Linked DNA regions of Caenorhabditis elegans. The protein of the gene in region 1 interacts with the protein of each later gene in a pairwise test. Each region holds a gene or a part of one and is shown on either strand. Other genes may lie near its edges.

What was found. The genes of interacting proteins can lie anywhere in the genome.
Region 2: the proteins of exo-3 (region 1) and F33H2.6 interact in a two-hybrid assay, tested with the Caenorhabditis elegans proteins (2 studies listed by BioGRID).

The regions. Positions count from the first base shown.
Region 1 is NC_003279.8:11,905,963-11,911,596, reverse strand, and holds exo-3 (exodeoxyribonuclease III), read left to right. Parts: upstream 1-2,345; 5' UTR 2,346-2,390; coding exon 2,391-2,639; intron 2,640-2,968; coding exon 2,969-3,295; intron 3,296-3,355; coding exon 3,356-3,571; intron 3,572-3,878; coding exon 3,879-3,953; 3' UTR 3,954-4,026; downstream 4,027-5,634. Other genes in the region: NEDD8-conjugating enzyme ubc-12, read right to left, coding at 1-130, 177-270; rbm-3.2 (RRM domain-containing protein), read left to right, coding at 641-662, 856-934, 1,020-1,176; rbm-3.1 (RRM domain-containing protein), read left to right, coding at 1,623-1,647, 1,866-1,944, 2,000-2,147.
Region 2 is NC_003279.8:15,013,490-15,019,435, forward strand, and holds F33H2.6 (Regulator of microtubule dynamics protein 1), read right to left. Parts: upstream 3,107-5,946; 5' UTR 3,091-3,106; coding exon 2,822-3,090; intron 2,763-2,821; coding exon 2,586-2,762; intron 2,430-2,585; coding exon 2,293-2,429; intron 1,932-2,292; coding exon 1,801-1,931; intron 1,625-1,800; coding exon 1,433-1,624; 3' UTR 1,365-1,432; downstream 1-1,364. Other genes in the region: pole-1 (DNA polymerase epsilon catalytic subunit), read right to left, coding at 1-300, 345-385; dog-1 (Helicase ATP-binding domain-containing protein), read right to left, coding at 3,984-4,212, 5,028-5,483, 5,741-5,829.

The DNA.
Region 1 (5,634 bases):
CCTCCACGATAGATTCCTTCTTGAGGTGTCACGGTGAGTTCCAACTCATGAAGACACGATGTTGATGGGACCTCGAGATGCCACAGCTTTTGCTTCTGATCGCGAAGAGCAGTCTCCAGCTGTTGGAGTTCTGAAAATGTTGTAAAATCAAAATTTTTTATAAAGCAGCCACATACCCTGAGCTAGGAGCTTGTCACGGACGGCGATGCGGGTTTCAAGATACCGACCGTCCTCGTTGTTGCCGTTGATTCGTTTTTGAAGATTGAACATTCTGAAAGCGAAAAATTAAGAAATACGATAATTTTCAGCGATATAGGCGGCGCATACGGAAACATAGAGAAAATAATCGTTTTTTTGGCAAAATTACAGTGTAAAAGGGTCAAAAATCGATGAAAATCTTGTAATTCAGCGAAAAAACGACAAATTACGTGAGAAAATGAAACAATTGCTATGAAAAATGACAGAGAATGAGGAATAAAAGACGCAGCGTTTGCTAACGCTGAAATGACTAAAGGGGGCGGAGCGCGAACGCAAGGCTGGCACACTTTTACCGCAAGTGCCGCACGGTTTCCCACGAGTCGGAGGAGGCAAGCGAAAACGATTCGAATCACACATATTTACGCTCCGGCCTAAAATCGTCATGTCTGGATTCTCTGTTTACGGTTAGTTTTGTTAATTGTAAATTATTCAAGTAGAAAACTGGAATATTCAGCTTTAAAAGCAGATTTTAATCGAGAAAAGCCGAATTTAAAGTCTGGCCTAAAATTTTTATTTTTCTCCAGGCGTTTTTCTATTTATTGTATTTGATTAGGCTGAGATAATTTGAGTTTTTAATAATTTTAATGCATTTTTCAGTCGGAAACGCTCCATTCCAAACTACCGAGGACGACCTTGGCAACTACTTCAGCCAGGCTGGAAACGTCAGCAACGTCAGGTAAGCTTCTCTCCCCGAAATCTCCTCTTCCCGAAACCTCCTGAACGACGACCCGTTAACTCTCAATATGAATCTCTATTTTCAGAATCGTTTGCGACCGCGAGACCGGACGTCCACGTGGATTCGCCTTCGTCGAGTTCACCGAGGAGGCCGCTGCCCAGAGAGCCGTCGACCAATTCAACGGAGTCGATTTCAACGGAAGAGCTCTACGCGTCAACTTGGCTCAAAACAGAAACAACTAATTTTCATATCGGTACTTTGTTACTTGTTTGATCTTTAATGATCTCAATAATAATAAACCCATGAAATCGTTATCATAAATATATATGCTCTATTTTTTTATTTCGAATCTTCATTTGGGGTCAATCTGATGGCAAGCGTTGAGGCTAGAAGCTTGAAGGAACGGCTTCGGTTCGAGCAAGTTTTGAATCCTGGGCTATGCGCAGCCCAATGTGAGCTTACAACTGAAAATTCAAGTTTCAACACTCTTCGCGGTCTTATTTTGGACTAATTCCTCATATTTTCAGCTTGAAATGGAAAAAATCTGTCGAAATCGATGCTATTCGAGGGGCGGGGCCAAAACGCAACCCTGGCACGGTTTTTACGCAACTGCCGCACGTTTTCTCCAAGGCAGGGTGAGCGGAAAAATTAAACCGTCATAAATTTTCTGCTACGGCCTAAAATCGTCATGTCTGGAATCTTCTCTGTTTACGGTTAGTTTTTTAATAATTTATTTTAAGTATTAAACAATCGGAAACTGGTTAAAATAGCCAATAAAACTCGATATTGTCCTGAAATTTTGGGATTTTTCGGAAAAATCGAATTCGCGAAGTTTTCCCTAATATTTTCATTTGAAAAGGCAATTTTAAGTGTTTAGATTCAAATTTGGTTGCGAAATATTTAAATCAATTAAAATTTTCCTTTTTTTTAGTTGGAAACGCTCCATTCCAGACCACCGAGGAGGAGCTTGGAAACTTCTTCAGCAGCATCGGACAAATCAACAACGTCAGGTAACTCTCCCAGCCAGCCCGAGCTTCATGATTTCTAACGCAATATCTCTTTCAGAATCGTCTGTGATCGCGAAACCGGACGTCCACGTGGATTCGCCTTCATCGAGTTCGCCGAGGAAGGATCCGCACAGAGAGCCGTCGAGCAGATGAATGGAGCCGAGTTCAATGGAAGACCACTCCGCGTCAACCTCGCCAACAAATAAGTTGATCTTCATATCGGGTTTTTGTTACTTTTTTGCTCTTCACTGATCTCATTATTAATAACAATCCAATGAAACTATCGATTTAATTATTTAATTCAATTTCAACTATTCTCTAACTAATCTGTTCAACATTCGGGGAAGTTTCTCTATTTGTCATCCTTCCATCCGCCGACCTGATTCAACTTTCTTCTTCCCCAGCTGCTCCGTTCAAGAGCCTACTCGACTACTAACCTGTTGCTGAAAATGTCGAAGCGAAAAGCAGAAGAAGCACCAGCACCAAAGCTCGCCTCGATCTTCACAAAGAAGGTGAAGCCGGCAGAAGAGGACAATAATCAGAAAAGCTGGAAGTTTGTGTGCTGGAACGTGGCAGGGCTCAGAGCTTGTGTGAAGAAAAGTGATTTTAAGGAAGTGCTCGCCGAGGAGCCTGACCTCGTTTTTCTAGGAGAGACCAAGTGTAAGGAGTGGCCCCCGGAGATGGAGGAGACGTTTAAGGTAAGGAATTCCTGGAAGAAAAGAGATTTTTCGCATATTTTACGGCCGGGTTTCATCAAAAATATGTTTATTAACACATTTTAAACGAAAAAACGTAGAAATTTCCATTAAATCCAAGCGGAAATTCACTATTTTTCCTGAAATCTACAAAGAAAATCGCAATTCAAAAGAAATTTGCATAAAAATAACATTTAAAAGTCAAAATTCTACCAGATTTCCATTTAAATAGGGATATTATGTGCTTTTTAAAAATATTTTGAATGAAATTTTAGCAGAAAAATGCGAGAAAATGGCTGAAAAAGCGATTTTCAAAGCTAATTTTTTTCCAGAACTACACCAAAACCCTCGTCGTCTCCACAGAGAAGAACGGTGGCTACGCAGGAGTCGGGCTGCTCAGCAAATGTGCTCCGATGAAGGTTCACAAAGGAATCGGTGACCCAGAATTCGACACTGCCGGACGTCTGATCATCGCCGAGTTCTCCAAGTTTTACTTTATCGGAGCTTACGTTCCAAATTCGGGCGCGAAGCTGGTGAATTTGGAGAAACGAGGACGCTGGGAGAAGCTGCTGACCGAGAAGATGAAGGAGATGGACGAGAAGAAGCCAGTGATCTACGGGGGTGATTTGAATGTTGCACATAATGAAATTGATCTGAAAGTAAATATATTGTATTAAATTTGTTTTAAAAATTATAAATTAACTCCCTGATCCTTTCAGAATCCAGAATCAAATCGAAATAAAACCGCGGGATTCACAGATCAAGAACGTGGATGGTTCAGTGAGATGCTCGAGTTGGGATTCACCGACACCTTCAGAGCCATGCATCCCGACGAGAAGAAGTACTCATTTTGGAGTTATCTGGCGAATTCTCGGCAGAAAGATGTTGGATGGAGATTGGATTATTATGTTGTCAGCAATCGAATTATGAATAAGGTCTCGTCTGGAAGCTGTGGAAAATTGAAAAAATGGGCAAAAAATGCAATATGTCTGGGATTTTTTCCCGTAAAATCCCGGTGGATACCGAAATTTTGATGGAATTTGCCATAAAAATTTGATTTTCCAAAAAAATTTAGACAAAATCCACCGGGGAATTGAAATTTTTCAGAAGATTTCCATGAAATCCACTTAAAAATTTAGAATTTTACTGAAATTTCGACGTAATCCAAGTGGAAATTCAATTTTTCCACTGGAATTTTGATAAAATCCAAATTAAAATTCAATTTTAATGTTCTTTTTTCAGGTCAAACGCAGTGATATCATGAGCTCGGTGATGGGAAGCGACCATGCTCCGGTCGTCATGCAAATCGACTTCTAAATTGCTTCTGATTATTTTATTTTGTGAATATTGCTTTAAAACTTGTATTTTTGATGAATCTCGACTAATTTTTAAATTTAGAAAGTCTGAAAAAAAAAAACAAATTCATCAACAAGTAACAATGTTTAACAGAATTTCAAAAAATGGAAACAACACGAGATCACTGTTCTTTTTTAATTTCCAAATAGCCAAAGGTGAGCCTAATTTTGAAGCGTGACGTCTCGGTTTCATAGACGAACGGAGCATGTTCTTCGTCTGATTGCTCATGATTGAAAAGCATCGCGAGTTGAGAAGCCTTAATTGTAGAGCATCTGATGATTGCGGATTGAAAGTGATCGGATTTCATGTGAATCTGGAAAAAAAAATCAGATTTATTGAAAATAATCAATTTTCTAAAGTATATCTCTAATCTTGATGGCGTCATCAACCGTGAATTCTTCCATTTTAACCTCAAAACCCGACAAATGGAAGAGATTTTCAATTGGGAAAGTAAAACGGTGATCCCAGACTCGAAGTTTCTTAATCTTCTTCCACTGCTCCAGCTCAAAAAGAGCCAAGTACATATCCATTGTTTCATCAACATAATCATCATAAATACTGTTCCACGTCCTTCTTATTGGAGAGCTCATCAATGCCAATTTCTTCGAGATCTCCCGGTTTAAAATGGGAAACGACTTGGGTAATATCTTGCAGGTCCAGCATGTCAATCGTGAATTTTTTAGCACTAATTTCCGCCTCCGAAGCTTTGAAAGTCTCCTTGAAATTCTCATAGCAGTTAGCAACTTCAAATCTTTCAGTGAATTCATCATTGACCTCCACTTTGAACTCTTCCAGCTTAAGATTCGGATTTTTCAATAGAATCGCCACGTCGTCCAATGGTTTCTTCATATATTCCTTATTGCGAATTTTTTTATTCTTCCGACACGTATACGATCGATAATCTTCGTCATCGTCATCATGGTACAACTCCAATCGATCGTAGCCCATGCTCATCGAGATTTTTTTGATGCCAGAATTGCGATTGTCGATGATAGATCTCAAGTTTCGAGACACATTACGAATAGGAAATCTGAAAATTTGGGTATTAACTATTTTTAAAAATTAAGTAAGCATTGAAGACTGACGTTTCAAATGGTTTCATATCATCCAGAACTTTATGAACAATTTGGATAGGCATATCGGGCAGGCTGCGACTTTTTGGATCATAGCTGAAAGTTATTTTATTTTGTTTAAGGCGCTCTCGCTAGCTTCCCTCATATTTTGAAATGTAAGAGTTTGCCGAACTAGGCCATTTTGACTCGGTCATGCCTGGGGTAGATTTACGGCGCGTTGCGTGTCGCGTCGCGGCTCGGTTAATTACCTCATTTCACAGTCTAAATCAGCATCTCCATTTCCGATTTGATAGTACCAAAAGTCGAATTCGCGATATTCCATCAAACCGTATCCGAGAACATTACAAAACGAGTGATATGCACTATAGACAGACTCTTTCTGAAGATACAGGAACAGAATACATGAGCGAATGGCAATTTTGTTGTTTCGCAGAAGATTCTTCTTTTCTATTATTTTTCTGGAAAATGCATATTATTTAGAGTTTAAACTAAAGAAGCAACAAACTCGTAACACAAATCCATCGATTCGTCGAATTCAGAACAAGAGCAGGAATCGGACTCTGACATTG
Region 2 (5,946 bases), 3.1 Mb from region 1:
GCTCCGTACTTCTTGGACAGATAACTGGATACTTGGAATTCAAATCCATCCAACGTGGCAATATAGAAATACGGTCGAAATGGGTAACTGATTTTGAAGCGTTCGTCCATATCACTGATGAAGAAATAGTCAACGACCGAAATAATAACTTTGGTTTGCTCGTCGACAAGCTCCGAAGGTTGGATGTTTATCAGAAATCCTTTTTTCTCCTGTAGTCCTGTGTATCTAGAGAAACCAAGCTTCGCATCAATCTCATCATTTGATCTGATCAGGGCAAGCCGCTCTTTGTAGTTTGAATCACTAAAAAAAGAAGATTTTATACTTTCTCCATTCTTGAAACAAACTTTTCGACCGCCTGTGCAAGAATGTCATCCTTGGAGCTCATTGAGCTTGCTGGCGATGACCGAACTTGTCTGAAAATACTGAAAATCAAATAACTAAAGAAAAAACTAGATAAAATGGCAAATTTAAGTTAATTTCATGGGAAATCGAGTTTAAAATGCAAGATTTCGCGCGCTCGGCCAGAGGACGAGTTGGGTGGAATTCTAGGCCACCAGATCATAAAATGGAGGGAAGGAGCAGAATTTGAATTTTAAAGCAATACAATTGAATTTCCGAGAGGCACCACGGAGGCACCACGTTTTCAAGATTTGTTCAAAAACAAGATCTACGAAAACAAGATCCACCAAAACAAAATCTACCTTTTCAAGATCTACCAAAACAAGATCTACGTTTTCAGGATCTGGCACCGTGCCAACTGCGGTTTTCTCTACGCGTGCGTACGCGTGTTGCGTAAATTCTAGAAGAAAATTTCAAAAAATATTCGTTTGAACGCTAAACAACACGCGAACGTAACATCGGAGCATCGTTGTTTCGTTTTCTTCGAGAAAACCGCAGTTGGCACGGTGCCAGATCCTGAAAACGTAGATCTTGTTTTGGTGGATCTTGTTTTCGTAGATCTTGTTTTTGAACAGATCTTGAAAACGTGGTGCCTCGCACCACGGTATCAAGATCTGGTAAAATTCCGGATCTCCGTTTTCCGGATCTACCATTTCCGGATCTACGTTTTCCGGATCTGGCCAACTCTTAAAACGCTATTTTTCTCGGAGAAAAACGTGACAACGATGCTCCGTTGTTAAGCGTCGCGTGTTGTTAAGCGTTTCTTCTAGAAGAAATTTTCAAAAAACAACGTGCGTCGAGTGAATAAAAAAGCGTTTTGTGGGTTGGCACGGTGCTAGATTCGGAAAACGTAGATCCGGAAATCGTATTTCCGGAAAACGTAGATCCGGAATTTCACCAGATCTTGAAACCGTGGTGCCTCATTTCCGACAATATTATTTAGCTGACATTAGACAATTATTAAATTCAAATAAATATTTTTATTCTGTTAAAAATTACAACAATCATCTTACAAATACATATTTTTCACAATCTAAACAACTTCAGTATCCTTGACTCCATATTTCTTCAGTTTCTCGTATGCTTTCTTATGAATAACCGCGTCATCAGAAGTCACAACTGGCATTTTGAATGATTGTTTGAATGCATCAAGTGCTTCGGCTTTTTGTCCTAGTTGTTCGTACACTTCGCCAATGTAGTAGGTATTCGTACTGTAGAATCCGGGCTGAAAATTTGAATTTAACTATAATGATCTGAATTTTTCGTGGCACTATTTACTTCCCAAGTGGAGGAAAATGTTCAAAGTGTAAAAAAATTTGGTCGACAACTTTTCATTTTTGTATGTTTTTGATTGACTATGAGAGATTCACTAAAAGTGTTTGAATTCTGATATTTTTTTACCGAAATCTGTTCAGCCTTTAGGAAATAGTGTAGAGCCTCCTGATATGTGGATGCTGGTGGAGTTGCGAAAATAGCTTTGGCCACCATTCGAGTCGCGTAACCCATATTGGCGAAGGAAAAGTGCCAGACTCCTGAAATTTGAGGTTTTCTTTTTAATTCTCGAAGCGAAATGCAGAAATATCTAAAAAAAATAATGGTTAAGCACCGCCCGCCCCCGTTGATTGAACGGTGAGCTGTAGAGCTTTAATTCGGAATAAACACGGGGTGTCAGAAAGTCTCATTGCGGTTTGATCTACAAAAAATGCGGGAATTTTTTCCCAGAAAATTTGTGACGTAAGCACACTGTTAACCATGCGAAATCAGTTGAGATGTCTACGTCTCACCTCCCGCATGTTTCGTAGATCAAAGCGAAAAGGGACCGTCTGACTCCACGTGAATAAATTCTAACATGATTTTTCTTTTTTTTTCTCTGTTCAATCCGGAATCCCTTACCCAAAATATGCCACGTTGTTGGATCGTTCTCGAAAATCGATAACGCCTTCTCTAAATGTTTCCGCACTTGGAATGATTTTTCGATTCTCGATTTGTTTCCCTCGATCTCTCCAACGTAATCCAGTAGAATGGCATACCTAAAGATAGCCATGTGGCATAGAAAATGCTAAAACTCAGCCGCCAAAAAAGGCAGGTGCTCAGTTTTCGATTTCCACCCTCAGTCATAGTTTTTTTTTCTCGCAAAATTGTGTTGTTCTACCCGGAATAAATAGCGTTTTAACTCCAAATCGTACCATTTATGTGCTCCAAAGCATCCATTCTTTGGCTCATTGTCAAGAGCTTTTTTCACAATTCCATAGGCTTCCAAAATGAGCTCTTTTCGTTGATTTTGATCTTTTGAGAGTTTTCCTTTCTCACAAACCACACGTGCCAGACGCCATAGAAGCTCGGAGCAATTGGAATTTTCAAATCTTAAAAATTGGAAAGAAAAGTTAAAATGGACATTTCTAAAAGTTAATTGAAAATTCACTTTTTCAAAATATTATAACAATTATCGATTAGATAATTATCATAAAGTTCATCCGAATTTCGAACAATTAAATCGAAATTTTTCGGTTTTCCATCAATTAATTGTCCATTTCCTGAGTCCAAATTCTTGTTCTCTTCAGTTTTTCCAAAAAATGCGATTCCAAGCGAGGTTCCACCAGTGATTGCAATTAATTTCGGAAGTTTTGGAGAAGATGTCGGGCGGCGAGAGAAATTCGAAATAAAACGGAGATTGAATACTCGTTTGAACATTTTTTTTCTTCAGAGGCTGCAAAAATTAGACAATTTTAAATAAATTATAAATATTGAAACAAAAATATATTATTAATTTCGATGGCCTTTTTCCAAGTACATAGGTAATTTTTCAAAAAACTCATACTCAAAGACGCATTCACTGAATTATTCCAACCCCCTAATTCCGAATATCTTTAAATTTTTTAAACTAAAAAAGCCTTAAATTTATCGTTTTTTTTTTCGAAAATTCGGATTTTCATCGAGTTGTGATTTGGATATAATAAAATGTTCAATTGACACGGAAAAAACAATTTTCCAAATAATAACCAAAAAAAAAGTTTTTGAAAAAACATGACAGATGGTGAAAAATCCCGTAAATCGACACAGCACGGTGCGCCCCAATGAGACTGCCTCTGGCGCGTTAAGTTTTGGGTGCGAGATTTCAAGCTGAAATATTAAATCCGAGAAGTTTTTTTTTAATTTCACAAAGATATTCGGAAAGAGTCATACGCCAAAACCTTTTTCGAACAAAATGAAAATTTGAAAATTAATTTTGAACACTCGAAAGGGAAAAATTTTGCGTTCAAACTGGTTCCAGGCAAGTTTTAGAAAAATTCTCGTAGGCTACTGAGAACGCTATAATGTTGTCAGCATTTCACAGTTCAAAGTACAAGTGGTGTAAAGGTAAACACTGATAAGTGATAATGAGAGAAGAGAGAAAAAGTTCGGCCAAGCTTTATGAAAATCGATTTGAAAAAAGGGGTAAAAACAATGCATTAGGGAGATTCTAACTTTTAAAAAAGACGTCTAAAAATTGTTTAAGAAAATGAGGAAAAATCATAAATTTTACACGTAAAAAAGATAAGGGGCGGGGGTTTTAATCGAAAAAAAAAAGTTAGAAAAAGTTTAATTCATTCACAAAAATTCTCTTTTTTTGCTTTCTCAACAGCGTGTCGACGCTGGATGAATTCGCGAAAATTCGCATTAAATTCTTTAAAACTCGGATAGCTTTTCAGTTGAGCACGAATCCATTTTGAGACACGAGCAGACGAGGCTCCGCCCACAAGATTTCCAGTTTGACGTTCTAGGCGTTCATCGATCATTAGCATTGCTCCCCAGTCGTTTTTGTGCCGGAGACATCTGAAGATTTAATGAATTTTAGATTGTAGTGAAATTTGGCCAGATGGTTTTTCTACTGATTCCCTTATTTCACGTGATATTATAGATTTGATATTACGGGAACACTAAATCCTGAGAATGCGTATTTTACAACATATTTGACTCGCAAAATATCTCGCAGCGAAAATTACAGTATTTCTTTAAAAGTAGCGCTTATGCCGATTTACGGGCTCGATTTTATTTTCGAATTTGGACAGTGATATTCAATTTTCCTTCGTTGTTCGTATTGTTTAGTCATTTTTGTACTTAAAAAAATTTTATTCATTAACCAACTGTTTTAATAGAAAAAAACGTGTAATATTGCCTTCATTTTGATGAGGAAACTCCTATTTACAAACGTATTTTTACATTATTTCCCGTCTATTGCAGGTTTTCCAGGTGAAACCCGGCAATAGACGGAAAATAATGTAAAAATACGATTGTATGAGTTTCCTATAAGGCAATATTGGACGTTTTTCATTTAAATATTTTTTTTTAACACAAAAATGACAAAACAATACAGAAAAAAAAAGACAAATTAAATACTGCTGTCAAAATTCGATTAGGAAATTCGAAAATCGAGCCCGTAAATCGACACAAGCACTACGGTAGTCATTTAAAGGATTACTGTAGTCTTCGCTACGAGATATTTTGTGCGTCAAAAATGTTGCGCAAATTTCAGAATTATGTGTTACAGTAGAAAATTGCTGTGTTTTGAACATTTGTAGCATAGCATAACATTTTTTAAATAAAAAAAACGTAGTTTTTATTCCACGCGGCTTTGTATATATATTCACCTTCCCAAAGCCTGATTCAATGCTCGATAGGCCTGCGTGGTATACCACTCATCGCCAGTCAAAATCCCCTTTTCCTTGGAATTCTGATCATTATACAACTTTTTCGCATTCACTTGATCATCCATCGCATTTGGATACGGAATTCCGACAGAAATCACCACACGCGCACGATCATCGGCAAAATCAATGCCCTCGGAAACTTTTCCACGAAAAACGGCAAACATAAGAGATCCGTTGATGTTTGCACCGAATCTAGACGGATCGAAGATCGCCGCATCGAATTGATCCATTACTGATGTTAATTCTGAGGATCTTCGCGGCTCGTAGAGCACAACTTTTTTCATTTCGATTTGTCGCATTGTTGAATTACGGATCATACATTGTTTTAATTGATCTAGAACTCGATAGCTGGGGAGAAAACATAGAATTCCTGCTGGCACGTTACTGCATACATACCTGCAAAAAATGAGCTGATTTCTTAACATTCGAAAATTTTCCAACAATTGGAACATTTTTCAAGGCTTTTGTAACTTTTTATAAAAAATTAGACAAAAACTAAGTTTTCCGATTTGAATTTTCAGAAATTATATTTGTTTTAAACAAGTCTTGATTTAAATAACCTAAACAAAATTTGACATTTTTGTTGAAAATCTATTCATTTTTTTCAAGTCTCTCTGAAAGTAGAAAATTCGAAAAATAATCCGCCAACGTACTTGATAATTGCTCCAAGCTCGCAATAAAATGAAGATTCCGGATCTGACGTGTTGCGGTACGTGCACTGAATGCGATTTCCAAAGGGACCCTGGAATTTTTAAATCAATTAAATTAATAAGGCTTTCCTTTTTATTTTGGTAGTTTTTAGACCGTATTTTCGAAAATAAACCTTGTATGCTAGCCGGAGACTTATAGGACGAATGAC